Arabidopsis thaliana: one gene and its partners. The protein of the gene in region 1 interacts with the protein of each later gene in a pairwise test. Each region holds a gene or a part of one and is shown in the gene's direction. Other genes may lie near its edges.

Evidence for each region.
Region 2: the proteins of LSD1 (region 1) and DRP3B interact in binary tests that used the Arabidopsis thaliana proteins (3 or more experiments, as listed by UniProt).
Region 3: the proteins of LSD1 (region 1) and ZIP10 interact in binary tests that used the Arabidopsis thaliana proteins (3 or more experiments, as listed by UniProt).

Annotation. Positions count from the first base shown.
Region 1 is NC_003075.7:11,000,352-11,010,542, forward strand, and holds LSD1 (LSD1 zinc finger family protein), read left to right. Parts: upstream 1-4,165; 5' UTR 4,166-4,363; intron 4,364-4,483; 5' UTR 4,484-4,545; exon of another isoform or gene 4,546-4,660; coding exon of another isoform or gene 4,661-4,675; coding exon 4,676-4,799; intron 4,800-4,888; coding exon 4,889-4,993; intron 4,994-5,078; coding exon 5,079-5,110; intron 5,111-5,205; coding exon 5,206-5,251; intron 5,252-5,482; coding exon 5,483-5,622; coding exon of another isoform or gene 5,623-5,643; exon of another isoform or gene 5,644-5,722; coding exon 5,723-5,794; intron 5,795-5,886; coding exon 5,887-5,958; intron 5,959-6,045; coding exon 6,046-6,087; 3' UTR 6,088-6,437; downstream 6,438-10,191. Other genes in the region: TSF (PEBP (phosphatidylethanolamine-binding protein) family protein), read right to left, coding at 660-883, 1,142-1,182, 1,707-1,768, 2,414-2,614; AT4G20390 (Uncharacterized protein family (UPF0497)), read left to right, coding at 6,717-6,928, 7,020-7,143, 7,261-7,518; JMJ14 (JUMONJI 14), read left to right, coding at 8,653-8,694, 8,836-8,907, 9,245-9,322, 9,423-9,929, 10,059-10,191.
Region 2 is NC_003071.7:5,954,903-5,965,093, reverse strand, and holds the start of DRP3B (dynamin related protein), read left to right. Parts: upstream 1-4,985; 5' UTR 4,986-5,078; coding exon 5,079-5,447; intron 5,448-5,537; coding exon 5,538-5,820; intron 5,821-5,916; coding exon 5,917-5,945; intron 5,946-6,039; coding exon 6,040-6,141; intron 6,142-6,437; coding exon 6,438-6,506; intron 6,507-6,601; coding exon 6,602-6,661; intron 6,662-7,053; coding exon 7,054-7,167; intron 7,168-7,534; coding exon 7,535-7,583; intron 7,584-7,685; coding exon 7,686-7,795; intron 7,796-8,104; coding exon 8,105-8,194; intron 8,195-8,426; coding exon of another isoform or gene 8,427-8,429; coding exon 8,430-8,519; intron 8,520-8,657; coding exon 8,658-8,750; intron 8,751-8,833; coding exon 8,834-8,971; intron 8,972-9,178; coding exon 9,179-9,292; intron 9,293-9,386; coding exon 9,387-9,482; coding exon of another isoform or gene 9,483-9,486; intron 9,487-9,632; coding exon 9,633-9,675; intron 9,676-9,878; coding exon 9,879-10,021; intron 10,022-10,110; coding exon 10,111-10,191. UniProt on the Arabidopsis thaliana protein: Involved in the control of mitochondrial and peroxisomal division and morphology.
Region 3 is NC_003070.9:11,171,799-11,181,989, reverse strand, and holds ZIP10 (zinc transporter 10 precursor), read left to right. Parts: upstream 1-4,627; coding exon 4,628-5,266; intron 5,267-5,758; coding exon 5,759-5,908; intron 5,909-6,125; coding exon 6,126-6,431; downstream 6,432-10,191. Other genes in the region: AGO2 (Argonaute family protein), read right to left, coding at 1-213; AT1G31270 (uncharacterized protein), read right to left, coding at 3,332-3,523, 3,561-3,641. UniProt on the Arabidopsis thaliana protein: Probably mediates zinc uptake from the rhizosphere.

The DNA of each region.
Region 1 (10,191 bases):
TGTTTAATTTCACTGAACGTGGTTAGATGGTAGGACGGGTTTTGGGTCGACAGTAATACGAGACGGTATAGCACGGGTGAAATCCATTAGATATGTTTAGTTTCACTGAACGGGATTAGATGGTAGGACGGGTTTGAGTCGATAGTAATACGAAACGGTATACCACGTGTGAAGTCCTAAATATAACAATCAAAATATAATTATATTATCTTAAATACTAAACAAAACAATTATAAAATAAAAATATAATTAAATTTTAAATTATTTAGTTATAATCTAGATTTTAACTTAATGAACTGTACGTTATTGTTCTTATATTTTAAACAGTAAAAGTTAAACATAGTAATTGTATACTAAATAATATACAGATATAAGAGTTGTATATTCAGAAAATACAAAATATTAAATCATATATTTTTAATCGACTAAACAAATTATATTTTTATTCTTAAAAAAACAAAATAGTCTCGCGGTGTACCGCGGGTTAAAACCTAGTTATTACATTAAAAGTGTAAACTACTTTACATCGATGTCAGCATATGCATCATTTTTTTTAGCTCGTATCTTTAAATTCTTATTACATTGACATAGATGCTTAAATACTTCATTAAGGGAATATTATACGATTAGATTATTAGTTAACGTAAGTAGGTACGCATCTACGTTCTTCTTCCCCCACAGCCATTCTCCCTCTGGCAGTTGAAGTAAGAGGCAGCCACAGGAAGACCAAGATTGTAGATCTCAGCAAACTCACGAGTGTTGAACTGTTGGCGCCACCCCGGTGCATAAACCGTTTGTCTTCCGAGTTGCCGGAACAATACCAACACAATACGATGAATTCCCGAGGGGGGACGTGGACTCTCGTAGCACACCACCTCATTGCCTGATAAACAATCATAAACACAAATATTAATTAGCCCTTCCTAATTTGTCCACTAGGTAAGTGTTTTGTGTCGCTTATTTTATATAGATTAAAGATTTGATTGTTGCAACATACATATAAATTAAGAAGGCTATATAAAAATAGATATCTTCTTAAGAATATATATGCTCCATGCTAACACTATTCAAAGCCTAAGCTTGGTGATATGAGTTTTATCTATCTTACCTAATGTATCTATACAGAGTTACTTAAACTTACCAAAGGCATTTCCAGTGGTGGCAGGTATATCAGTCACCAACCTGTAACGAGAGTATTATCCATTAAAGTTAAAGATATGGTGCAGTGCAACCTGCAGATAGTTAACTAAATTCGACTAAAAAACAAAGCATGCATCAAAGTTTTTGAAAGTTTCGTCTAAAGCATGTAGAAAAGGTCAGACTATGAAGAATAGACGTTTGTTGCGTGCAAGCTATGATATAACATGACACACACACACACTAAAACAAAAACTAACTCTGACCACAAAGTCATGTTCTATTCCTGTTTAAAGTCTCTATGTTGGATGTATACGTAAGACATCTTTTTTCTTGACAAGTTGCTGCTCTCTTAAAGTTGATTCTGTATGTCCCCTTCTATTATTAGTAAAAATCTAAAATATCGTTTTTTGTGTGTCACTTGAGATATGTATTGAATCTCTAAATTTTAAAGTCTTTTTCTAATTCCCATATATACCTTACCTATTTGTTTTCTATTTATACTCGAAAATAAGTGTGATGCACGATCTAAAGTTAAGTTAAATGAAATGAAGAGATATGATACAAACCAGTGGAGATATTCTCGTTGGTGAGGGTTGCTTGGACTCGGCACATCTGGATCCACCATAACCTTTATTAAACCCATCAACAACCGTATAAGAGAGAAGATCGATTATGAATATATTAAAGCAATCAAGAAATTAAATCATGAGTTTGATTTTTTTTTTTTAACTCTTGAAAAGTGATAACACACATTAAGACGAAGAAGTTAACCAAAAGTTAATAGAAAAAGAAGTAAAGACGAAGAAGCTTAAATTAGAAAAAGGTAATAGTAACATTTTCCATTAATATAAGGGTATCTAAAAATACTGGCTTTACTATTCAGATTCAAAAGTCGTTAAAATAAGTGTCAATTAAGATATTTATGCTTTTCTAAAGGTATGTATCCTAGAATAAAAAAACTAAAATAAAAATAAAAGCGAAACAAAATCAAGTTAACCGTCTCTTGAAAACGTAATATATATAATCGAGAAAGATTCAAAATTGATTTAAAATAATAATCAAACCAATAACAGTTATGCATGCAAGAAGTTAGAGGAAACGCAGCAGGTATATAGATGAGGCTACGAAAGAAAAGAATGATCAAATCTAGTTACGCTTAAATTTGGATATATCTAAGGTTTCTTCGTCAATATATGGAGCTTACGAAAACGAAAGAGTGAGCTACGAGGAACTAAATCAATGAAGATAAGAGGAATGAAGGAGAGAAGATCACCAAGGTGTAGAAATTTCTGAAGTCGTCTCCTCCAATCTCCACTATTGGTTTGTTCAGAACTTGAGAAGGCCTTAGATCCAAGCCATTAGTAACCTCTCTATGGCCATAAGTGACCTTAAGAGAGACCAACCTCGTGAAAGGATCAAGAACATCTCCAACAACACTGCCGACCACAAGAGGATCTCTACGACTTAAAGACATATTTATCTTGGATCTCAAGTATCTCAATCAAATGTTTTGCTTCTTACCTTATGAACCCTTACTTGCTATTCTTTATATAACGTTTTGGGAATTGCAATAATTAGCTATTTAGCTTTATTCTCTCCAATGAAATCATTACCAGGGTCTTTTCGTGTATAGTTTCGAGAATCTACAACTCGTTCAACGTACGTATATCACTTATAATTCATGTTTTTTTTTTCTTTCCTTTTTTCTAAATTTATAGTATTCTTATTCCAAAACCCACCAGTATAAAACAGAAATAATCATATTCCAAATTATACATCATCCACTTGTTTCTTGCTAGCCACTAGTATGTAATTTATTCTGACTTATCATTGTAACTTCATGAACTATTTAAAATAATGTCACAAGCATATAATATGCTGCATATTTGCGTACGTCACGCATTTTGCGTCACATGTCACTCATTTAAATAGTTAAGGACACTACATTACACCGATTATGTATGATGTTAATGCATTTTAGAATAACTCCTTCAACCTAAACCATCATATAAAAGTATATATGCTCCAGATAAATTGACGCCATAATTGTTCACATATCTGGTTGGTGTGTACATACGTACTAGACTCTTTTTTTTCTTTTCTTAATGTAGTACTAAACTTAATTAATACCATCAAAAATATCAATTTAACAAAACAAACCAGTAAAACTTTTAAAACAATGGAGTAAATCAAATAAAACAAGTAAATTAACAAATAGACACAAGGTAACAGAAGTATAATAACGACAGAAAAGTGAACAATTGGCCAAAAAATTCGTTTTCAAACGTGATTTCAAAATTGTCTCCAAATCTTAAATGTTGATAAAGTAATTTTTTTAAAATTCATTATACCTTTCAAAAACAAGTGTATTACCTAAAAGCTCAACCGTGTATTCTTACACTCCAAACAAATTTAGTTCCCCAAGTTTGGAAGACAAAAATTTCTAAGAAATTTCTGACAAAACACATGAGAAATAAACCGATAAAGACTTCTAAAAACTATTGCAGACCAGTTTCATTTGCTGACCACAAAAAGTCATGAGAATACAATTAGCTCAGTGATTCTTGATATTTCTGGTACCTAACAAAAAGAAAAGTGTGTGAGGTTAGATGGCTATGATTTTTGCTCTCCAATTTATTGTCCATTTCCCCAATTTGTAATATGAAATGCGCAAATTACTCTTCTTCCGATATGAATAAGCAAACGAAAACATACGTGGGACGTTATGTTCAGAACATTTGATTAAAGTTTATATGCGATTTTCATTTATTTATTATGAATTTTTTGTTTGGCAGCATGTACGATTTTTCATTTAACACACAAATATTATAGAATTTTCATTGGTTCAAAGGGGTAGACAAAAAATAATTTAATATTATTACACCATTTGCAGAAAATTAGAAAATATATTTTTACCCATAATTAATTGATCTATGGACGTATGCTTGGCATAAAAATTCATATTTAATTAGCAGAAGCCAATCGCTGCGTTTGTATATACGCGTTTATGACCGAGAAAAAAACCCTTACGCGTCATGTAAAAAAAAAAGAAGCGTAAATTACGAAAAACAGAGAGATAAATCCGGGCATTGAGATTTTGGAGATAGAGAGAGAGAAAAATCGAAATCTATTGTCTATCTCCTCAATTTGGATTGGATTTTCTGCATATCATCGCTCTAGCTTTCGCGGGTTTTGGATTCGATTCCTTACCCTTCTCCAATCGGTAAGAACAAGCTCCAAAGTTTGTTCCTTTTTTTCAATTTTCGCCAATTCTGTAATCTCATCATTGTCCTTGTTTGTTTGTTTGATTCAACACACAATTCTTGTTTTGATTTGGATGCAGAAGTTTTTGGCTTTGAATTGGATTTGGGTTTCGTTCCAAAATCAGCTCTTTTTGTTAATCAGGTGAGTTTTTAGGTATTTGAATCTCCAATTGCTTCCTTGCAATGACTAAGTATTGTGAAATGTTTAGGGTTTCATCTGTGTGGGTCTTGTTTTGAAGCAATTTGTGTGTGTTTGGATGAAAGTAGCAGATATGCAGGACCAGCTGGTGTGTCATGGTTGTAGGAATTTATTGATGTATCCTAGAGGAGCATCTAATGTGCGTTGTGCGTTATGTAACACTATCAACATGGTTCCTCCTCCTCCTCCACCTCACGGTATCGATTTCTTTGTTGAATTTGAATTGAGGATGAGGTTAATATGCTCTGCAATTGTATTATAACTTGGGTTCTGATTCTGAATACAGACATGGCACACATTATATGTGGTGGTTGTAGAACAATGCTTATGTATACGCGTGGGGCTAGTAGCGTAAGATGCTCTTGCTGTCAAACTACGAACCTTGTGCCAGGTATATTAATAATATCGTGACATCCATATCAATCCTTTTAAAGACCATGTATTATATTGCTTTATAAGGTCTTTTAGTCCTTTAGAATCTTCTTTCACACTTTTGTTTGATAACATTGTTCTGTGGAGATGATGCTTACGTAACGTATTTCCACTTTTCCCAAAGATGTATATGAATCTGAATTCTGAAAATATCTGGGATTTGTAAAGCAGCTGAAAGTACTTAAAACAAAGCTTTTAGATGGTCCCGGTGGACTAGGTAACTACTTGTTAGAGCTAGTAGGGTTTATTATTGTTTTGTTTGATCTACCATTAGATTCTTATCTTTAATTAGCGTCTAAGCTGTTGTCATTTAGCTGTATGATTATCATTTATCCATGACTGCTTAAGAACATTGCTGATTACTTCGTTCATTAGTATTTCTTGGATTTTTCTAGCATTAACATTGCTTGTTTTCTGAATCTGTGCGTGTCTTTTTTGAAATCGACAGCGCACTCCAATCAGGTTGCCCATGCTCCTTCCAGTCAGGTTGCGCAGATCAATTGTGGGCATTGTCGGACGACCCTCATGTATCCTTACGGTGCATCATCCGTCAAATGCGCTGTTTGTCAATTCGTAACTAACGTTAATGTGATTATTCCTATCTATTAAGCCACCTCTGCATGGTTGAGTTAAGTATAGAGATCTTTCTGTTGGAAATTTTCATTTCTGATTCATTTTGCATCCTTAGATGAGCAATGGAAGGGTACCTCTCCCAACTAACCGGCCAAATGGAACAGCTTGTCCCCCCTCTACATCAACTGTGAGTTATCAAATTATGAATTTGTAATAGTTCTGTATATTCTTATGGAACTGGTACTTACTCTGTTCATCGATTTTTCATTTTACCAACAGTCAACACCACCCTCTCAGACCCAAACCGTTGTTGTAGAAAACCCCATGTCCGTTGATGAAAGCGGAAAGTTGGTGAGTATTTCTATCACCTGTGTTCTTCTTCTTATTTACCACATTAGAGGAAGATATGACAAAGTGACTGAAACACACAAATTGCAGGTGAGCAATGTTGTTGTTGGAGTGACAACTGACAAAAAGTAATCAAGAATGAGTGAGATCTTAAAGATCAAATCCAAATTCTTCCTCTATTCCTGCGTTTGGTTTGTGCATATTACATACGCGGAAAAACTGTATGTTATATATCTCTTGACTCCTTTTTAACCCAAGAGAAAAAGCTTATCAGAATCTCTTGTTACTGCATTATTGGGGTTTATTCAAAGTTGAAGACACAAGGTTTTTGCTCGAATAATTTGGCATTCTTTTGCTCCATGGAACTTGACCTTCTCTTCTGTTTGTTGACTTCTAAAACTCCATCGGCCCTTGTGGCATTGTTAATGTATGTATGAATATAATCTGATACACCAACCAATCATTAAGATTTGGGTTTGAAATCTGTCTCTTCCGTGGATGAGATATGCTACATGTCACAAGAACTGGTCTTAGCTTTGGTAGATAAGACTTGTCTTAGAGCAAGTCTTGAAATCTGGAAATCTATTTTGCAGTAATCTTGTCACAACAACCATAACCTAATCAGTCAGTACCCTCCAAGAACATTAAAGTTAGATGATCCGACAAAACCTCTCAACAAGACCAAACTCTTTCCATATAAATACTCTTTAACACTGACACAAAGTTTCATCACTTTCTCTTGATCACTCACTGCATCAACAATGGCCAGAGAGAAGATTGTGGTGGCTGGTGGTACCACAAAGAGCTGGAAACTACTCTTGGGGCTGAGAATATTTGCATTCATGGCTACTTTAGCTGCAGCCATTGTAATGTCACTAAACAAAGAGACAAAGACCTTGGTTGTGGCCACCATTGGTACTGTTCCTATTAAAGCCACTTTAACCGCTAAGTTTCAGCACACACCGGCTTTTGTGTAAGCGAGTAAAACCCTATACGAAATCGATTCGATACATATTGAAAGCAAAATGTTTTTGAGTTATTAACATTGATTCTTGGTTTTACAGGTTCTTTGTTATAGCTAATGTAATGGTGAGCTTCCACAACTTGTTGATGATTGTGGTTCAGATTTTCAGCCGGAAACTGGAGTACAAAGGTCTTCGTCTCCTCTCTATCGCCATTCTTGACATGGTATAAACATTGGTTTTCAAATCAATTTACTGGTTTGATTTCAATTGAATTAGTTTGAACGTTTGGAAAAAAAGCTAAACGGTTTCTTGATAATCTAAAAAAACGTTGGAAAAAAAGCTAAACGCAACACTAGTATCTGCGGCTGCAAACGCGGCGGTGTTCGTGGCAGAGCTAGGGAAGAACGGAAACAAGCACGCCAAGTGGAACAAAGTCTGCGACAGGTTCACCACTTACTGTGATCACGGCGCAGGAGCAATCATCGCAGCATTCGCCGGAGTCATTCTAATGCTCCTCGTGTCCGCCGTCTCTATTTCCCGCCTCTTAATCAATTCTAAAAACTTCTCCACCACCGCCACCACAACCTCCGTCGTCTAAAACATCGTGGCCAAAAATTCAGCAACATGTGTGTGACCATTTTATAGATGTTGTGGCTTACTTTGTGTGTTTGTCTCTCAAGTCACTAGCAAATTGTGTAATGCACTCCTTTGTTCTATCACTTTCACATTTGTATTCAAGTTTTCATTTCTCTCTTATCTTTTTATATAATTCTAAAATGACAAAAAAAAATTCACAAAGTATATAGTACATTGAAACAATGAGAAAAATCTACAATAGATGATTAGATAAGACCAATTCAAGATAATTTATACCTTTTATTTCTCAACTACTTCTTCTATTTATGGAAATATAATTCTAATCAATTGTTAGTTTTTTACATTAAAATGAATTATATCAACCGACTAAAAAACAAATCAGTATTAGTTCTATCGCATTGTAGTTCCCATACAACTTAATTTTTGTGTTGTAAATAATGATCCTACTGTCTCTAATAAATGTGAATCAATAATCATAACTATTGAAATCCTTTTCTTTTTGGTTAGTAAAAATGAAGTGTAAATAGTATAACTGTTTAATTTAGTTCAGATATACAAATCAACAAAACTACTTAATTTGAAGATTAATTCAGTTTTTTTTTTTTTTTAATTTTCTGTTTATAAAACTACTGAATTTTATTTGGTATAAATGGATTGAAGATTTTATTACAAAACAAAATCACATTTGGCGGCTTCTTCTTTTTATGTTCTAAACCCTTTTCTTAGATCGGACTCCAAGAAATCTACTTGCTTTAATCGTTAACCTAATAAATTCTTCTCTAAGTTTTTTTTTTCTTAACTCATCAAAGAAGGAAAGAAAAAAAAAAACCTCTTTCACAGATATTTAACCAAAAGGTTTTAGATTTATACTATACGTTACAAATAAAATTCGAGAGTCAAATTCAATCTTGGGAAAAGCTTTTGTTCCGAATCTTGGCCCCTTCACGAAGGTACACTTATCATCTCACTCTCTATTTCCAGACACAAATCTATATGCGTTCTGGGTTTTTTTAGGGTTTCGAAAACGGCACTGCATTTCATCAAGTAAGGGTTTGTTTTTTATTTAACAGATCTTTGTTCTTCCTTAGGTCACGGGTTAAAAGTATCGATCTTTGTGAACTTAATCTCACTGTAAATGGATCAGCTTGCATCTCTAGCAGAGTCTGTGGCTATGGAGGTTTCTCATCTTTATCCTTTTGCTTCTTTGATTTGTGTTTTTTGCTTTCTCCTCCATTTGTAACCTCTAATTTGCATGTTTGCTAGATTCAATTAGCACTGTTGCAGTTTCTGAATGTGGAATTGTGTTTATTTCTTGCAGGAAGATTCTGAGAAACAATCGATTAAAGGAGAGAGTAGTCTTGAACCTGACTCTACTCCTTCTAGTCCTAAAGTAAGTTAATTGGGTTTCTAGCAAAGTATTGGTTGGGTAAAGAGGTTGATGGCTTATCTATGTGCTAAACCCGTTTGAGTCTGAAAATCCAATCAATTCTAGTTTTAATTAAGTTCGTGGCTTTTGCTTATCAGTATCTTCCTTCAAAGATCTCATCTTTCTGAGAGTCGTTCTTATTGTATTTGTTTTAGATTAAGCAAAATCTATTTACTTGGGTCTTAAGAATTTAGCAATCTCATCTGGATCTTATTAGATTGTTTGTTGTGTTAGCTATCTGATTGTCCAAGAGCAGATGAATCTGATTCATGAATGATATCGTTTTGTTGCGTATTTGAAGATAACTGCTAGGTGGAATCCATCAGAAGCTTGCAGGCCTTTGGTTGATGACGCTCCCATCTTTTATCCCACTAATGAGGTATTTAAAATACTCGAGTTGCAATTTTGGTTCTGTCTTGGTAGTTAAATTGTTATCTTATCTGAAAATTTTGATCCTTATGATACTGCTTCATGGTCAGGATTTTGATGATCCACTTGGTTACATAGAGAAGTTGCGCTCTAAAGCAGAATCATATGGCATATGTCGAATTGTGCCGCCTGTTGCATGGAGGCCCCCTTGCCCTCTGAAGGAGAAAAAAATATGGGAGAATTCTAAATTTCCCACCCGGATTCAGTTCATTGACTTGCTTCAAAACCGAGAACCGATTAAAAAATCTACTAAAACCAAGAAGAGAAAACGGAGAAGAATCTCTAAAATTGGATACACAAGAAGAAAAAGAGATTCAGGCTGTGATACGGCTTCCTCTGGCTCTAGTGATAGTGAAGGAAAATTTGGTTTTCAGACTGGGCCAGATTTTACCCTGGAAGAATTTCAGAAGTATGATGAATACTTTAAGGAATGCTATTTTCAGTCAGAGGATCATCCTGGTTCCAAAGCGTCTGAAAATAAGAAATTTAAACCTAAGGTTAAGGACCTTGAAGGTGAATATTGGCGGATAGTGGAGCAGGCAACTGATGAAGTAGAGGTATGTACATGCAGCAATATAATGACATATCAACTATTTGTGTCTTTCTTGGTTTCACCATTTTCTTTTGCATTTATTTGAATTTGATGTTCTTCGAACTTGCTACTCTTGTTTTTGGTCCTATGACAGGTGTACTATGGAGCTGACTTGGAAACAAAGAAATTTGGAAGTGGTTTCCCAAAGTATAAACCGGGGTATCCTATAAGTGAAGCAGATCAATACTCTCAATGTGGTTGGAACCTAAATAATTTGTCCCGTCTGC
Region 2 (10,191 bases), on another chromosome or scaffold:
ATAGAGTAGGCAGCAACATATTTTTTCTTGACTTCTTCTATTAAATAAGAAGGTGCACATTCCCATATACAAACTGTCTTCTGTTCCAAGTGGATGAGTAAGGCAACCTAGCATTTTCCTTTGATACAGAAAGGAACCGATACGCACTTGGTTTCTTCCTCTATTATCAGCTTACTGATTTCTTCAGACTGAAACTGAAATCCCTCTTTGTTATCCAAAAACTCCATGTATGACTCATCAATCACATTTAAGAAAGACGATCCCACAAATACAACTGATTTGTTTTTGAATAATTCTGGATTGCTTTCCTTCCTCGTTTTCATCAACTCCAAAGCTGCATCAACATGCTAAACACAACAAAAATAAAAATTATCATATTAGAAAACCCCTTTAAAAACGATTGTAAAAAATGCAAACCCTTTTTAAAATACCTTGTAAATCATTCTACGCCACATACTTATGCTTTTTAACGATTGTAAATCAAGTTAAACACTTTTAAAAGCTTTTAAAATTCCTTGTAAATCATTCTATGCCACTAAGTTCTGCTTCTAAAACGATTGTTAATCAATTAAACCCTTTTTAATATCTTTTAAAATCCCTTGTAAATCAATCCTTACCACTTTCTAATCCGTTGAAAACGATTGCAAGTCATGTAAATCCTTTTTAAAATACCTTGTAAATCATTCTTTACCACTTTCTAATCTTTTAAAATTGTTTATAAACCATGTAACCCTTTTTAAAATCCCTTTTGTAAATAACTTAATGATGCTTTAAAAACTATATGTAATTCATGGGTTACCAATTTTACAAGGATTTTTAGACATACCGTTGTTGTTATTGCTTTTCCTGGCGTCTCTAGGGTTGTAAACCACTTTGTATCTACAATATTTCCCGCGATTGATAGTGGCCTACAACAACAAAACAGTCAACAATGATGCTTCTTCCATTATTAAAAAGAACTCTCTATCTTACTAACAAAACTCACTTGTTTTTCCTTGACTTCTTCCATTCAGCCAATTTCTCAAGTCTTGTGGCATCAACTTTCGCAAATGGATGCAAAATTGGATGCTTCTTCTTCTCAGCTGTGAAAGGTGCTTGGGTATGAATGGAAGGAACCGTACCCCGCTTACTCTTTCTTTGCGGAGCGGGCTGAAAATCATCATTGTCGCCATCATTATCATCGTTATCACCATCATTACCAATAATTTTCCTTTTCTTACTCTTTGCCTATCAAAAAGAATAAAAAAAACAGATGTTTAAAATACCTTGTAAACAAAATTTTCAAAATCATAATAAATTAGATACTAACCTCTTTCCTTGTTGGAACATCAACATCAGCACTATCAACTTGTTTCTGCCTCTTTCTCGGCACCTAGAATAGTAAAAAACACCAATTAAAAGTACTTTTGAAATCCCTTGTAAATATCATAACAAGACAATTGAAAAATTTTAAAAACAGTACTGTTGCAAATACTAACCTGTTTTCTTGTTTTAAGATTATCCTCAGCATGAACACTTGGTTTAACTCTCTTGTTCTGAAGTTGCATGAAAGATAAACTTTTAAAGATTTGAAAAAAATATTATAAACACTTGGTTAGATAATACAAATTTTTTTAAATGCTAACCTCATTTCTTCCTCTGCTAACTCTCTTCTTATCCTATTGAAATTTGGTGTAGAGGATCGTGGAGTATGAGACTTATCCTTGAAAAGATAACAGAATGTAAAATTATAAAAAGGATACTAATCATTTTTGTAAGACTTTTAGAGATATAAATTACTGTACTTTTGATGATTCTTCAGCTACTTCATCACCAACATCACGTTGGGTGTTTTCATCATCACCCGGATAGCTCCCATTCTGTGTGTTTGGCTCTCGGATTGAATCTTCAAATGATTCGTTGTCATTCTGCAACAAAATAAAAACAATAAGTCAATCATTAATATAATTAGTAGACCTTTAAAATAGCTTGTAAAGATTTTCAATTACCTCTGCTTTTCTTTCTAGTCCTCCTTCTTCTTCAGCCTGCGAAAAAAAAGAGTACATTGTAAAGGTTTACTACGTATTTAACCTTTAAAATACATTGTAAAACATTTCCTTTCAAATAGCTTTTAAAGAACATTTACAATTACCTCTGGTTGTCTTTCTACTCCTTCATCTTCTTGTTTTCTTTCTTCATCTTCCTCAGATCTCTGATTATTCTTTTCCTCCATTCTAATGTCCAAAATCCTCTCAATCATCTCGACTCTCTTGTTAAGATCTTCAAGGATTGTCAAAATCCTGTCAAGCTTCTCGCTATCAGATATTTTGTTATTGATTTTGTTTTGACCTACTTCTTCAAGGGCAGCACAAACATCAACGCATCTTGTATTCCATTCAGTTTTCTTCAATCTGTAGCCCATATTAACAAGTCCCAAAATATGTTGGAATTCTATGTCGTCTGTGTGGAAATCAGGAACTAAAGACTTGAATTCTTCTGGGTTTCCAATAATTGTATTCACCTCCATCTGCGAAGATACAATAACATTACAAATCTTGAGAAAGCAGAACTTCAAATCTAAAAACCATTTAAAGAATTCTGTAAATAGACAAAAGCTTACCTCAGAAACATCATTTACAAGGTTTACGATCTTGAAAAACTCTGGAGTAGTAGTGCTTTTCCACTTCAATATCAATGGATATTCAGATTGGAATTCTTTATCTTTAACTCCATATGCTGCACCAAATGCTGGAACTGCGCTCAACACCCATATTGTTAGCGCTAGTCCAAATCCTCTCAAATCATATTTCTCTTTTGCCCAAGTTTTCTCGTCCATTCTCAGAATTGAATTTGATAGAACACTGAATGCTTCTTTACCCCACGGTTGGGCTGTGTACATCTCAAAATCAGAAGCATGCTGCAATCTTGGCAAAGGTATCTTCTCTTTTCCATATGGTGTCAAAAGAATTCCTTCAGTCAACACTACTGCAGCAAGACACAACTTTTCTTCATCTTCAACAGCAGGTTCACCTTCCTTAGGTTTTAAAAACAATCGATCTTCGAGATCACCAAGAGTATAGGATCCTTTACTAGCCCAAAAGTATGGTTCTTTTACAGGATCTTTTCCCTTTCGTCGAAGTTCCCTATGAACAGGTTCACATTGAATTCCTGTATGAACAAAAGACAGTGTAGAGACTATTATTACAGGTTTTATAGTAAATACTTTAAAAACGATTGTAAATCATGTTTAACACTTTTAAAAGCTTTTAAAAGCTTTTAAAATCCCTTATAAATCATTCAATGCCACTTACTTATGCTTTAAAAACGATTGTAAACCATGCAGACACTTTTAAAATCCCTTGTAAATCATTATATGACACTTACTTATGCTTTAAAAACGATTGTAAATCATGTTTAACCCTTCTAAAAGCTTTTAAAATTCCTTGTAAATCATTCTATTCAACTTACTTATGCTTAAAAAACGATTGCTAATCATGTTTAACCCTTAGAAAAGGTTTTAAAATCCCTTGTAAATATTCTATGCCACTTACTTATGTTTTAAAATCGATTGTAAACTATGCAAACACTTCTAAAATCCCTTGTAAATCGTTTTAAGACACTTACTTATGCTTTTAAAATCCCTTGTAAACGTGTTTAACACTTCTTTAAGCTTTTAAAATCCCTTGTAAATTATTCTATGCTAGTTACTTATGCCTAAAAACGGTTGTAAACCATGCATACCCTTTTTAAAATCCCTTGTAAATCATTATATGCTACTAACTTATGCTTCTTAAACGATTGTTAATGAAGTAAACCCCTTTTAAAAGCTTTTAAAATCCCTTGTAAATTATCTATGACACTTACTTATGTTTTAAAAACGATTGTAAACTACGCAAACAGTTATGCAAATGCCTTGTAAATCATTCTACGACAGTTAATTAAGCTTTAAAAACGATTGTAAAACTTTATTACCTGTTGTGAGATAGAACTCTCTCAAGGAGAAACGGATAGGTTGAGAATCAACTCTAAACCAAAGAGTTGATCCTTTTGTTTTCACTCTCTGCTGCATGAGATAGTGAAAGATTTTTCCAGAAAATCTGATTCCCTTCTTAGCCTTCATTTTTGGTCCCAATTCAACTAGAGGACCAAGAAACGAACTTCTAATCTTCTGAAATAAATACTCGCCTAAAGCTTCCTCTACTTTACTAACTAAATTCCAATCCGAGTATTGTTGAACGGTTCCCAGTGTAATAGATTCCTCACCTTCTCTGTAGATTTGTTCAGGCAATGCAAGGATTTCACTCTCTGAATCCATCTGCAAAACATGTTATGAAACAGCGTCAGATCTACTATAAAATCGACTATAAAATCGACTATAAAATCGATTATAAAAACGGTTACCGTCGGATCTATCGATATCTCTGGGGATTGTTTGCGTCGTAGAGAAATGATCTGAATCCTTCAGCGAAGAACATGTTTATCGGAGAGGAAATTCGTCGGCGATTTTGGGGTTTCTCAGAGAGAAAATTCGTCGGCGATTGTGAGTGAAATCGGAGAGGAAATTCGTTGGCGATTTTGAGTGAAATCGGAGAGGAAATTCGTCGGCGATTTTGAGTGAAATCGGAGAGAAAATTCGCCGGCGATTTTGAGTGAAATCGGAGAGGAAAACGAAGAAGTTTGTGCCAAAACGAAGAAGTTTGTGAAACGAACGTGAAACCTAATCATTCAGAGGGTAAGACAGTCATTTGCCATATTAAAAGGGGCAGTTTTTAAAATGGCCTTCAGGAAAGGACATTTTTACAAAAGGTTATTAGAATAAGGATAGTTTTGCAAATCTCCCATCTCCCTTAAAAAAATAGTGCAATCTACATCTCAAATAAGATGATATATTATCCTTTAAAAAATAACATAAAATTACATAATTTCTCAAAAAGAAATAACTCCGAAAATTACACAAATATTTAGAGATATTATTAACTCTGATTTACTTTAATCGGCGCGTGATCGAGAAAGATCTTCTTTAACCTCTTTGCAACAAATCTACTCAAAACCCTAACCCCTTTTTCAAATTACTTCCATCTTTAGATCGAATCAAATCAATGTCCGTCGACGATCTCCCTCCGTCGTCGGCCTCCGCCGTAACGCCACTAGGCTCCTCCGTGATTCCGATTGTGAACAAGCTCCAAGACATATTCGCTCAGCTAGGAAGTCAATCGACGATCGCTCTTCCGCAAGTAGCTGTCGTCGGAAGTCAAAGCAGTGGCAAATCCAGCGTTCTAGAAGCTCTCGTCGGCCGTGACTTTCTTCCTCGTGGCAATGATATTTGCACGCGCCGACCTCTCCGTCTCCAGCTTGTTCAGACGAAACCTAGCTCTGATGGTGGATCCGATGAAGAGTGGGGCGAGTTTCTTCACCACGATCCTGTTAGACGTATCTACGATTTCTCTGAGATTCGCCGTGAGATTGAGGTTTGTTTATTCATTCTCTTCTTCTAAGTTCGTCATAGAATCTATTGATGATGATCGTCTAATTGTATGAATATGACAATTTGTTTGTAGGCGGAGACTAATAGAGTATCAGGAGAGAACAAAGGTGTATCAGATATTCCGATTGGTTTGAAGATATTTTCACCTAATGTTTTGGATATTAGTCTTGTGGATCTTCCTGGTATCACTAAGGTTCCTGTTGGTGATCAGCCAAGTGATATCGAAGCGCGTATAAGAACGATGATCTTGACTTACATTAAGGAACCTAGTTGCTTGATACTTGCTGTTAGCCCTGCTAATACTGATTTAGCAAATTCAGATGCATTACAAATCGCAGGAAATGCTGATCCTGATGGTGAGTCTTTGGAAGCAAGTCGATTGAGAATTTATCAGTTTCATTGGTATACTACATAGTGACATTTCGTTTTGCATATGAATTTGTTGTTCTCAGGTCATAGAACCATAGGTGTAATCACAAAGGTGCTATTTCTCTCCTCATAAGTTTGCTTTAGATTTAGCTGTGATGGCAAACTACTCTATTTCTCACGATTGCTCTATTTTCTCTCTGATTCAGTTGGATATTATGGACAGAGGTACTGATGCTCGGAATCACCTTCTGGGAAAAACAATTCCTCTTCGACTTGGATACGTGGGAGTTGTAAATCGTAGTCAAGAGGTAAACCCTGTTTTTCAAAAAATTTACGCATGTTTACTTATGATGTATATTGTTCTTGTCCTACCATTATGAGCTGTGACCACTTCTACTTTTGTGCTTGTGTGTCTTATTTCTTGCTATCACAATTTGTATCTCTATGACTCTTCTTTTCCCTTTGGATACTACCTGTAATATAGACCTTTTTTTTAGTGTTACCAAACCATTCTACTCTATATTCATTTTTCGTTTGCTCTTACTATGTGGCCACTGCCCTCTACGCAAGGCAATAACTAATGTGGGTGTTAATTCCTTAACAGGATATTTTGATGAACCGTAGCATCAAGGATGCTCTTGTTGCAGAGGAAAAGTTCTTTCGTAGTCGTCCAGTAAGACTGCATCATTCTCTCGATTTGTTTTCTGATAGCGTTTCCTTGACTCTTCTGCTTATATCTTCTGTTTTGGTTTGTTTTCTAATAAACAGGTTTACAGCGGTCTCACAGATCGTTTGGGTGTCCCTCAACTGGCAAAGAAATTAAATCAGGTATTATCTGCAGTCTTGAGATCGTCTAATTTCTTTGTTATGATTATCTTGTTATGCAGTCAAGACACGAGTGTCATAAGGAATACACTTTCTGGATTTTCCGATGTGTCTCTAATTGAGACAATAAATTGGCTTTTGTATGTAACATTCATGTTTCTTATTTCATTTAGCAGGAGGAGCTAGGATCTTTGTAGGACATTAGTGTGTATATATTTGAAAAACTCAGCGACATCTTCTCACTATTGTTGTTGATTCATATGGTGGATTCTTTTTCTGTGAATGGAGTAGTCCTTTTTCTAAAGATGGCATCTCATAAGTTTCATAGCTGGTAATATTATTACTAAAATTATGAGCTGTCTGATGGGAGCTAGTTCTTTTTCCCTTCTTTGCAGGTCCTTGTTCAACACATCAAGGCACTGCTTCCTAGTTTAAAGTCACGTATCAACAATGCATTGTTTGCTACAGCAAAGGAGTATGAGAGCTATGGGGATATAACAGAGTCTAGGGTATGTGGGTTTTGGCCAGTTTTAGCCTTATATATACCATCCATTCTCAATGATGGCATTGCTATTTGCTTTTTTTGCGTTGTATGATTTCTTGCTCAGTTTTCGTATTTGAATATAATTTTATTCATTTTTGTGATCCTCTTCTTGATATTCTTGGGAGCCTTTTCTGATTACTTTCAGTTAAACAAACTATCGGTAATTTATAGAGTTAGTGTTTGAAGATGTCAAGATATGTAGGGAAATATTTCTGACAAATTTTTTCTAAATATCTAGATATGCTCTTTCATTTCCGTATAAAATATGCCTACAACATGTGACTATTTAACTTACAGCTTACTCTGGTTTATAACTGTTTCGAAATTCATAGGGTGGTCAAGGAGCTCTTCTCCTCAGTTTTATTACAAAATACTGCGAAGGTAATATCTGAAGATGGTTCTGTTTCAGTTTAGACAATGGATGTTAGTTTATACTTTTTAGGTTGGTATTGGTCCTCACCATGGCTTAATTATTTATAACAGCATACTCCTCTACCCTGGAAGGGAAAAGTAAAGAAATGTCAACATCTGAGCTCTCGGGTGGAGCAAGAATTCTCTACATTTTCCAATCAGTATTTGTTAAGAGCTTAGAGGTTTGCTACATTTATAATTTTCCTTGATCTTCACTCAGTTATAACTGCCTTTTATTTTGTTTTTCCAAGTTTTGCATTACGTTATATCTTAGTTAGGTAATACTTTCATAATTTAATTTGGGATATCATTTGTGGTCTTCAATGGAGGTTCATTGTGTTGCTATTGATATAGAACCTATACACCTATGTGTTCTTCAATGGAGGAGATTCATTTTGTTGCTATTGATATAAAACCTATACTCGTATGAATGACTTTCTATTTATAAGATATTATTTGATTCGCTAAGCATTAGGCTATATCTTAGTTAGGTAATCACTGTGTGTAGATATCTTTGTTTAGTTAGTGGGGCTATTTGCACGGAAGGCAGACAGTTCGTTTCAGGTTTTCAGTTCTTGGAAGTGTGGCATGTTTGCAGTTCTTGTATGAGTAGAACTATGCTCAGTTGTAAATATAGTCAGTGTTTATATTAGTTCATATCCGTCCATCTTTCAAGCATCTGATCTGTATTACTCAAAATCGATCTGAATATTCTCTGTTGTATAGAGATCTTTACCTACTGATGTTGTCAGTGCTACTTGATAGGGGTTTAATGATTTTAAACTCATTAGTTTCTCTCAATTTGCTCTGAAGGAGGTTGATCCATGTGAAGACTTAACAGCTGATGATATTCGGACTGCAATACAAAATGCAACTGGTCCCAGATCTGCATTATTTGTTCCAGATGTAGGTTTATCTATATCCCTAAGCATGTGGGAGCATTTTTTTGCTTATCTGTTCTTTCCACATACTTATTTTGCTTGAGTTTTTTACTTTTACAGCAACTCTGATTAGTATCTCTTGCTTTCATTCTCATCTGCATAGGTTCCATTTGAAGTTCTTGTCAGGAGGCAAATATCTCGTTTATTAGATCCCAGCCTTCAGTGCGCTAGGTTCATCTTCGATGAGCTAGTAAAGGTGTTATTTTTATTTGCGTTTCTTTATGATGCTAACTGTTGATTTACATGACCATGAATTTTAAATTGAAAAATTATGTACAGATTAGTCATCAGTGTATGATGAAAGAGTTACAGCGGTTTCCAGTCCTGCAAAAGCGCATGGATGAGGTTATTGGGAACTTTCTGCGAGAAGGTCTTGAACCTTCGCAGGCAATGATCCGAGATCTTATTGAAATGGAGGTATGTATGGATAATTTAAGATCCACACAATCATGAATCTAATGGCCAGTATTATTAAATTTACTTAGATTGCGTACTGATTTTTTTTTTTGTCACACTGGTGGAGTAGGACCATGTTCTAAGTTCAAGAAAATTGATTACTCTCAATTTTATTGATTAGTGCCTCTTTTAAATTTAGTTTAAAATATTTAAGTTTACCATTTGCAGATGGATTATATAAACACCTCACACCCAAATTTTATCGGGGGAACTAAAGCCGTGGAGCAAGCAATGCAAACAGTCAAATCTTCTAGGATTCCGCATCCTGTTGCGCGGCCAAGGGTATGGAATAGTCTCAGCGAAATTAATATTTGCTTTATGTTTCTCTTTGCGAGTTGTGAAATTTTTCGTACATGTTCCCTTTGATGACAACTAGGATACTGTGGAGCCTGAGAGGACGGCTTCTTCCGGGAGTCAAATAAAAACCCGATCTTTTCTCGGCCGACAAGCTAATGGAATCATCACTGATCAGGCATGTCATGCGTTATGTTATGTATTTGACTCTGTTACATTGATCTCCTTACTATATTTGTAGTTGGCCCTGCTTCTGAAAGCCCATGAAGCGAGTACAGATATGCAGCTAGAGACTTCTTATAATATAATTACTTAACATTTTTTACAGGCAGTTCCAACTGCAGCAGATGCTGAAAGACCTGCACCAGCTGGTAATGGTCTTATCACATTTATTTTTCAGTCTTTCATGTATGCACAGATAAATGAACGTGTGGTTTTAAGATGATTTTGGACTGAAATGATAAAATTCTTTGTCTAAGATACGACTTACATATAAGCATACATGTCTGCTCTTAATTCAATGTTCTGTTTAGAATATGAATGTAGTATTCTTGACCGATTGTGAATTAATCAGGAAGCACAAGCTGGAGTGGTTTCTCATCAATTTTTCGGGGGAGTGATGGTCAGGCAGCTGCTAAAAACAACCTATTAAACAAACCATTCAGCGAAACTACTCAAGAAGTGTATCAGAACTTGTCAACAATCTATTTAAAGGAGGTTTGAATCTTGTGCCTTCTCAGGCTTTTCATATTGCCCAATACTGTCACTTTACTTACCTATTCATCTCATAATGTTTTGTTTTGAAGCCTCCAACTATTTTGAAGTCATCTGAAACTCATTCAGAACAGGAGTCAGTTGAGATTGAGATAACAAAGCTATTATTGAAA
Region 3 (10,191 bases), on another chromosome or scaffold:
TCCCCGCTGACTCTGGCTTCGAAAATCCTGTTGTTCACCACGACCTTGACCACGATTTCCGCCGCCTCGCTCTGAGCCACGACCACGACCTTGTTCTCCGCCGCCGTAGCCACGATCACGACCTTGTTCTCCTCCTCCTCCGCCTCCGCCATAACCACGGCCACCTCTACCACGGCCATCACCACGACCTCCTCGATAACCACCTCTCTCCATTGGATCTGATCGGGAAACACTGAGTGAAACAAAGCTTTACGTGTTCAGAATTTTGCTGCTTCTAGTTTTGAACTAAACCAAATCGGAGGTTTATAATATCAGAAAGAAAGAATAAAGTGTCAGAGAAGCTATTGAAAAAAGAAAAACAGAGAGAACTTGTCCCTTAAGGAGTTATTAAAAAAAGTTCTCGAATGTTCCTTGACACAACCGTAAAATAAGGGATGTTGAATCGTCTTTCACAGTATTCTACTTGAGAAAAATAACTTCCAAATACATACAAACTTTTTTTTCTTCTTTTTCAACTGTCCTCAATTTTATTATCTTTGTAATTTAAAACTAATACATAAATATTTTAGTTTTAAGACCTTGAATGGGTGTGGTTTTTAAACTAGATTTTGGTTTAGTTTTTTTCAAAATCTATTTTATATCCATTCAAGATTTTGAAAAAAATAAGTTTTTCTAAAAAATAGAGAATCTAGTGTTTGAGTGTTTTAACAATTTTTCAAAGAAAACCAAAATCATAAAACCATCCATTACATTCTTTTATTTTATTTTTAGATTTTTTTGTTACAAAAATATTATCCATTAACATAAAAACCAAAATCTAAACAAACTACCATTCAAGTTTTTAAGAAACTAAAATCTACACCAAAAACAAAAACCAAGAAAATCAAAAACTAAAAACCAAAAACCAAAATCCAAAAACCATTTTTAAAATTACAAACATTCATGGCCTTAGTTTTTGGTTTTTGGATTTTGTAACAAAAGTAAAAAAAAAAAAAAAAAATCAAATGGAAAATTGAAAGAAAAAAGGATCTCGTAGAGGAAATTGAAAAAAACCCATTGAAATGAGATTTTGGATTTTGTTAAGAAATTAGTAAAAATTCTTAGAATCCAATAATGAATGGTTAAAAAATGGATTTTTGGAAAACCGTAAGGTCCATAACTCATGTTTATCTAGTCATCTTGAACCCACGATGTTGTCTTTATGACCACGATCTTTCTGTTTCACGTTTGCTCTTTGGAAATACATTTTGTCTTTAAAGTTTGTTATTTGTTGCGCTGTTACGGTTATTGTCTCTCTGATGAAATTAAAAGAATGTGTCGTGATTTAGCACTTGGGCCTTAAGTTCGATTAAAGAATGTGATTAGTACTTAGGCCGTAGGTTAAAACTTTCCTCAGCCCATGTGTGTGGATTATCAACAAACAAGTATCGTACGGGTCGCCAAAGAACATACAATTCGAATGATTTAATTAACTTTTGTGAACGGATGCACAATACCAAATTGTGATTTAGCATCATCGAAGTCATAATCAATATGAGAGAGGATCCACCTATTATGTTACGGCTTTACACTCTCTCCATGTGCGAACCCTTATAATAGCTTCACCAAATACCGTAAGTTGCGAGTTTGTTTACTTGCTCAACATTGGTCAAATGCCCTTAAACCCTCACTGCGACACCACCACCATTGCCCGAACAGTTGCTAAATCACTATTTTGTGTAGTTCTCCTCGTGTCGGCGAGAAGCTTATCTTTAGCCCCCTCATCAACGATATTTCATCTCTCGACATTAACAATTCGTTCACCCAATGACTCGCTCTTGGAAGAAACTTCGACAAACCTTGACCTTACATGTTCTACAAAGCCCCTTAGCTTTTGGTTCAAAGCTCTCAAAAGATAATTTGTCGATTAACTCTATCTACTCTCTTATTTTCATGTTAGTAATTTTGGGGTATACCCTTTATTATGTTGTTCTAAATTTTGGGATCTTAGAGTCCTTTTATCCTTGTATGTGTTAGCTACTCTAATGGAATGAAAACAAACCTTTGATTAAAAAAAAAAAATCAATACTACTTTTAAATTTTCCAATTTCATTGCTATTCTAAAATATGCGTATAACAAAGTGAATATCAAATTCAAAACTTTTTAGTTTTGGTCAAAGTTAAATTCAGAACTTACTAGCAAAGTAACAATATTAAGCTTACAAGATTAATTATTTGTTCATTCCATATGATTATGCACGTCGTCTTGACTTAAAGACTCATAAACCTTTATTAAACTAACACAATTTCATAATTGTTGTGTCCTTTCAAACAAGGCAAAATTACACCGTTTTTGAACTCATAGCTTGTATGACTCATCTTCATATCTAGATAGTCATAAGAACGATCGAAAATATCTCATCTTATCAACCAATAATTCCATTGACTTTTAACGACTCGTCTGGCATGATTGAATATTGATAGTTTAAATTTATTCTTCAAATAAAATTTTAATTGCTTGACTCAAACGACCAAAAGGCCAAAATCCAATATATGTTATGAGAGGCATGTGCTTATGTATAATGTAAGTTTATAAAGCTAGCTAGTATTTAAATTTTATGCAAACCTACTTGACCACCAAATTATATACCAATTCAACTAAAACGATTCATATACCAATCATAACATAATCCGAATATATAAAACATTAAACTTTTTAAGATCTTTCGTTGCAATTTCCAAATAAATTTTTATTAGCTTTTTTTTGGTAGGATGAATTTATATTAGCTTTAACAACGAATGAGGTGGTTTTGGATTAGTGATTGTATAATAACAGTGGTTGTGCGATTTCGAAATCAACACGACTAATAACTTTTATCAAAAGGATTCGTATTCTGTATGATGTAAGTAGAAGTAAAGTCAGCGAAGTACATTCGTACGAATTATATATATGTCAACAACGAGCTTTTATAACATTCTGTTCGACCTATTCCAAATTGCTTTTTCAAATAAATTTCACCGATTTTTTTTTCCTTCTTTTAAAGTTTGAAGTTATATATTTTGTGAAGATTAACACACCACAAACCAAGAACGTTTCAGCTTTAGAACCAACTTCGACTTAGAACCAAAAACAGAACCTTTGTAATGAGAAATGCAGAACAGAACACACACACAATGGTAACCCAGTTCACACCAACGGTGCTACGTCTGGGCCGGGAACTCTCTCCCGGAATCCACTATATCAACCTTTAGAGATTTACAAAGAGATTTCTCACCCTCTCAGCCCCTTACAAAGCTAACTAAGATTCACTCTCTTTCACTCTCTGTTTCCCCAAGAACACCCAATACAAGTTTACTCTCGATTAAGTGCCTCTGTGTTTCTTAACTTTTCTCTCTCTACAATGCTCAACTTAAATAGAGCAAGAGATTTTAACCTAGTCTCCTTCTGGATCCTTCTCGGTTCCTCTCCTCTACACGCTCCTCTGCAGTAGCCTCCAAGCTTGTCTTGTAGCCTGCTTTGGTTCAGGCGTAACGGCTCTTCTGCCTTCACACACAAGACAAGAGTTGTCTCCTCCGTACACCATTGCTTTAGCGGACAAGCAAAACGGGTATTCTTTGTCTTGTGGTCCTGCATATCCACGTGTATCAAGCTGAGCTGGCATTGTCTTCTTTTTCCCGCTTCAATTGTTGTGTTCTTCTTTACTAAATCCTAACATATTTATGATATTGTTGGTTACACAAAACTGACAAGTCTGTCATTCCTCGTACGAGTCTTAGGTCTCGCGTCAAGCCGAGCTCAAAACCTCTATGTATCCTTCTCTACCCATGATCAATTTTTTTTGATAAAGCTGATCAATTTGTTTATAGCTTAGTATGTCGTTGTAAGACAATCACATCAATGTTCATTTGTTGAAACATTCCTCCGATACCTCATCCACATGGATTAGCAGCTTTAAAAAAGTTAGAAGTCAACTTAGGGTTTATAATTTTTTTTGACAATAAAAAAGAATACTATTATTGTATTACATCATGTACTTAAAAACGTACACTAAGTACATATATGGACTGTGGAGTGTGACGGCTTATCCATATGCCGATATTTGTATAACGTGGGTAACATGATGATAGGTAAAGTTTTTCAACATGTAATATTAAACCCAACATAGATATTTATACAGTTTGATCAAGTGTCAAGAAATTTGACCTATACAATAATATCTAACCTTTTTGATTACTTTTAGTTTATTACTCCCGTATACAACGAGAAAAATATAACACCTAATTACAGTTCATTTTATTTAATACTAAAGATTTAATGACTATATATATGAAATTGAATTTCTTTTTCTCTATATATATCTTTATCTTTATAAGTTATAACCAAGAACTACTATCATGATTTATTTTATTTTGCAAGTGAGAACATATTCAAGAAATTTATATGTGTGTGTATGCCTAGAATTAGTTTAGACTTTTTTTGAGTATTTCAATATCTTCTAAACAAAACATGTTGACAATTGATTAATTAGTAATGTCGACACTTACTTTGATTGAGGTCGAGGGTTCAAGTCTTGTCTTATATAAGAAGATTAAGACATAATGTACTTTGTATCAAACTCAAAAAACTCCACAAGAAACAAATAGAAAGATGACTAAATCTCATGTCATTTTCTCTGCCTCCATCGCTCTCTTTCTCCTACTCTCCATCTCGCATTTCCCGGGAGCTCTCTCTCAATCCAATAAAGATTGCCAATCAAAATCCAACTACTCATGTATAGACAAAAACAAAGCATTAGATCTCAAACTCTTATCAATCTTCTCAATTCTCATCACTAGTCTAATCGGTGTTTGCCTCCCGTTCTTTGCCCGATCAATTCCCGCTTTCCAACCCGAGAAATCTCACTTCCTCATCGTAAAATCTTTCGCCTCCGGAATCATCCTTTCCACTGGTTTCATGCATGTCTTGCCTGATTCTTTCGAGATGCTTTCATCTCCTTGTCTTAACGATAACCCCTGGCACAAGTTTCCTTTCGCCGGCTTTGTAGCCATGATGTCTGCCGTGTTCACGCTCATGGTTGACTCTATTACCACCAGCGTCTTCACCAAGTCAGGAAGGAAAGATCTACGTGCTGACGTAGCATCCGTTGAGACTCCTGACCAAGAGATAGGGCACGTACAGGTTCATGGCCATGTTCATAGCCATACTCTTCCTCACAATCTTCATGGAGAGAATGATAAAGAGCTTGGTTCTTATTTACAGCTTCTGCGGTATCGTATTCTTGCAATCGTTAGTATTCCTTCACTCTCGTTTTTTTTTTTTTTTGTAAAAATAAAACTCTCTTAACTTGATTTAATTACAAAAATGCTTTTTTAACATTAAACCAGATAAATTGTTTTTTTATAAATGCTCACATTGAGAAACATTTGTGTTAAAAGCTAAGTGAAATTGTTATAACTTGGTTCGTTTATAGGAAAAAAATGATTATTCACATTATCACATACGAAGGCATTAATATGCCATTTTTCTAAGGTTAACTGGTAACTCAAATTTTAATTGTAGGTTGCATAGTGTAAAACAAAATTGTTACCCTGTTTGTTGTGTTAGTTAGAAAAATAAAAATAAAACACAGTTCTTTGTTAAAAAAAAAAGGAACAAGTAATTTTTCATTTTAATTTATTCCACTAATTATATTTCATCTTTTGCTTTTATTTGAGTGACAACCATTTACACTAATTATGATTTAATAAGTGAGTAGCTGAAATGAATAAAATGGAATAGGTATTGGAGCTAGGAATAGTGGTGCAGTCGATAGTGATAGGACTATCGGTAGGAGACACTAACAATACTTGCACCATCAAAGGACTCGTCGCTGCGCTTTGCTTCCATCAAATGTTCGAAGGCATGGGTCTCGGCGGTTGCATCCTTCAGGTGAGTTCCTCCTTTCCACTTAATTTATTAGTCGGACCGAGTAATTACTCCCATCCATTCTGGTTCTATAAACTAAATTCCACATGATTTTTTTTTCTTCCTTTTCTTGGTTTAAACACAAAAAGTTCCACATGGTTTGATTTCTTGAAAAACGTCGTGCTTTTGAATGAATTGATATGAAATCATATATATGATGAGAACTTGATAATACATGTAGGCGGAGTACGGGTGGGTTAAAAAGGCGGTGATGGCTTTCTTTTTTGCGGTGACGACGCCTTTTGGAGTGGTTCTAGGGATGGCACTATCTAAAACATACAAAGAGAATAGCCCTGAATCGCTTATAACAGTTGGGTTGCTCAACGCTTCCTCGGCAGGACTACTCATCTACATGGCTTTAGTTGACCTTCTAGCTGCCGATTTTATGGGTCAAAAAATGCAAAGGAGCATCAAGCTTCAATTAAAGTCATATGCTGCCGTTTTGCTTGGTGCTGGTGGCATGTCCGTCATGGCCAAGTGGGCTTGATGATGTTTAAGTTAAGAGCGGAGCTTACAAATAGATGTATTGACTTTTTCTCTCATTTGCACATCAAATATTGGGCACATATTTTGTGTACTAGCTAATAAATGTATATAAAAAGCTGTCTTATCTAAATAAAAGCGTATGCGAAGTTGAATTTGGATAGTGGTAAACTAATACAATACTAATTCCACAATATTACATTTAAAATTTTACTAAGTAGTATGCCATTTTCACAAGTTTTTAGTAAATATCGTACGTTTAACTTGACATTTATGGAATGCAGATTAATTACCAATATTTAATAAATCGCTAGATGGTATTTAATCGTTCTAGAATCTAGCATGTACATTTTAAGGGTTAATAGATTATTTACTTATTTTTGTAAATTAAAATTTTTTATCTCCAACTTGAACCAGTATATTAAATATAAATATTTAAATATATAATCATATATGTGCAGTATAAATCATCAAGATACATATACTAATTTGTTGTGAACAAAGAGATTTTAGGGAATTGTGCATTCTGTTATCAATCAATTATACAAGATATGACATATACATTGAAATACAACATTAGAGTTTATGTTAGAGATTAAATCTTCTAGGATCTACTAATTGCCGTATAATGGGCATCCATATAACTTTTCTATTGTTCATAATTTAATTTAAATTGTTCTAGTAAAATGTCAATGCAACTGACATAACACCATATCGTAGGCGTTAGATATATTAGAATCAAATATGTAAACGAACTAGATTTTAACCCGCGGTATACCGTGAGAACAATTTATTTTTTAAATTAGTATATATTAAAGTTGCAAATTTTTAAATCTATTTATATAATATTTTTATTTTATAGTTTACAATTGTTATTAAGTAACGTCTTGTCAAACCGTCCCGCCAAATCTATCCCGTAAAAAAACCCGCGGTACACCGCTAATTTAAATATATAATTAAAATAAATATTTTACGGGATTGCAATTGTATTTTGGTTTGTCAAACAAATATTTGTTTTAAATAGTTGCCAAAATCTAGCTCAAATTTTGGAGAAATAAGATTTATTGTATAGATAAAGAATGTATTTAGGTGTGTTTTGCTCATTTTAAGGGATTTCAATTGTATTTTGGTTTGTCAAACATTTTTTGTTTTAAATAGTTGCTGAAATCTAATTCAAATTTTGGAGATATCTGCGTGACATATGAGATTAGAATATATTTGGAATATTTTTCGTTTGTTAATTAATTTATTACCCAAAAAAACCAATAATTAAAAGTTAGTGGCAGCCATTGTAAATAAGTCTCAACTCCAAGATTTATTTCACAAAAAGGCTGCAAAAATGTATATGTAGATATGCAAATAATAAAAATTATTAGTACACACACTTCTCATCTGATCCAAGTTCTAAAATCCGTTACTTAAATTATGCATAAGATGATTATGATGTAAAGTAAAACTTTAGATATGAGTTATAGCTCAATAGAGAAAGTGTGATATATATTTGTTTTGCCTTCTCAACATTATTAAATCAAGTAGTTTTAACAAAGTAAATAAAAAAGCTGTTTTTTAGAATATAATACAAGGTAAAACACAGTTTAAAAACTGTATATATATTATATAATATTTTTCTTTGTGGAAGATAGACTCCATATCATAAGACTGACTCATAACTGAAAACAAAGTCTTTTCTATATTAGACAAAGTTATAACTGAAAAAAATCTGTTCTACATTGATTTTTTTTTAATATATAGAGTAAATTTTCAAATAAATTAAAAAATAAAACTGTTTCTTAAACAAAATAACTCCCCTTTGCCAAAAAACAAAAAAAAAAACAAAATAACTCCCAATAGGATACTATACCAGTGATTTTATTATAGTAATTGTATTTTAAAAATCTGTGATTTTATTATCGTAATTGTATTTGTGAAAAATAGACTATGTATCTTGGATCATTGAATGAGTGTCTAAATTAAAAACTAAAAATCAAGATATATACAAAATCTGAAATTTTAAATACATTTTTTTTTAAAAAGTGAAAAGATTGTTTTTCCATCCCATATATAAATGGCCTCAAGACTAGCTAGTACTCTCACAAACCAAGCTCATCAAGTATCCAAATACAAACATTGTTTAGCTATGACCAACATTTACTTTAGGACCGTAAGTAAATGAGAATTTTCATTGGTATTTCAAAAATTGGTGAAAGTATTTCCAAGATTTTTCATAATTTAACCAATTATGTTTAGCAGTTTGTGATCATTTATGCTGGCTCTAAATTAAATTCAAGCGTATTTTTGCTTAAATCTATGTTCTATTATATTTATGAATTTATTTTTTCTTAGATTCTTGTATGTCATGATAATACCAGTTGTATACTAATTTGACATTTTTTTCTTAAAATAAATTGAAGAGCAAAGCATAACAATCGAGGCTAGTGAAGGCAAAGAATGTGTAGGCAAATGTTATAGATCCACTACTCCTTCTCCTTCGATGATAGATTCAAAAGAAGGAGCCAACATAGAATGCATAGACCAGAAAGGACTTAGCATTAAATGTCCTCCTAATCTTTCCCTTTCAATGCTAGATTCAGAAGAAGGAGTACTCAACCAAGAATATATGGACGGTACTAAAGAATATAAAAGAAAATGTCATTGCAAGTGTCATAAACATAGACCTCCTACTCATTCACCTTCAATGATAGATTCAGAAGTAGATGTCAACAAAAAACATAAAAAAAAATGTCATTGCAAATGTCATAAAGCTAAAGCTCCTAAATAAATATTATATTTAAAATAGATGTAACTCTGAAATATATATTCTTCATATAATTATTATTAATAAAAAAAAAGATCTATTCTCTATTTTTGTTTGATAGTGATACAATCAATTTCCAAATGACAATTCTTAGTCTTATAACATGAAATCTTTCAAATTTTTTGAAATGTGTGACCGACCTCTAGAAAACAATGTGAGATCCAAAAACCAAAATTGGTTTAGACACACGACAATTGTGCGAGTGAATCCGGCACAGATAAATTGGATGATAAATCAAGTCGGGTTTGACGATGATTTCAACAAGACTCGAGCTTCACCACGAGAGAATTGACTAATTGGAATTTTGTTTATGATATAGTTGCACATCATGGAGGTTGCCTACGTACATTTGTAATAAGATCAAGCCATGTGAAGTTCATACTAGAAAGGGTCTTTTAGGTTTTTGTGTGAGAGATTTCATCCAAATAGATGATTATCTCTTTATATGAACATGTAGTCAGTTTCGAGATATGTAGAAATTTTTTATTTTTTGAAAGGAGATATGTATCTTTTCTTCTTTTCTGGGATTCTTAACTTATCTTCTTAGAGCACCCACATTGGTTGGTTTCTAATATGAGTTTCTTCAAATTGTTTATTGGTTAATTTTGATAGTTTTGTAATTTAGAGTTTTTTGTAATTTTTATGGTTCAATGGTAGAATCCTTAAGAGGGTTTCTTAAAAAAAAAATTTGGAAAACAAAATGGTTAAGTACATAAGTTAATAGATGAAACTCATGAAATAAAACTCATTACTCGATTGTAACCAAAATGGTTAAGTTCAGACCAAACACTCACATTCATCTATTAATCGATATGGTTGAGTTCAGACCAAACACACACATTCATCTATAAATCAATATGGTTAATTTCAGACCAAACACACACATTCAGTCATTAATGGATATGGTTAAGTTCAGACCAAACTCATTAATCGATAAAACTCACAACAA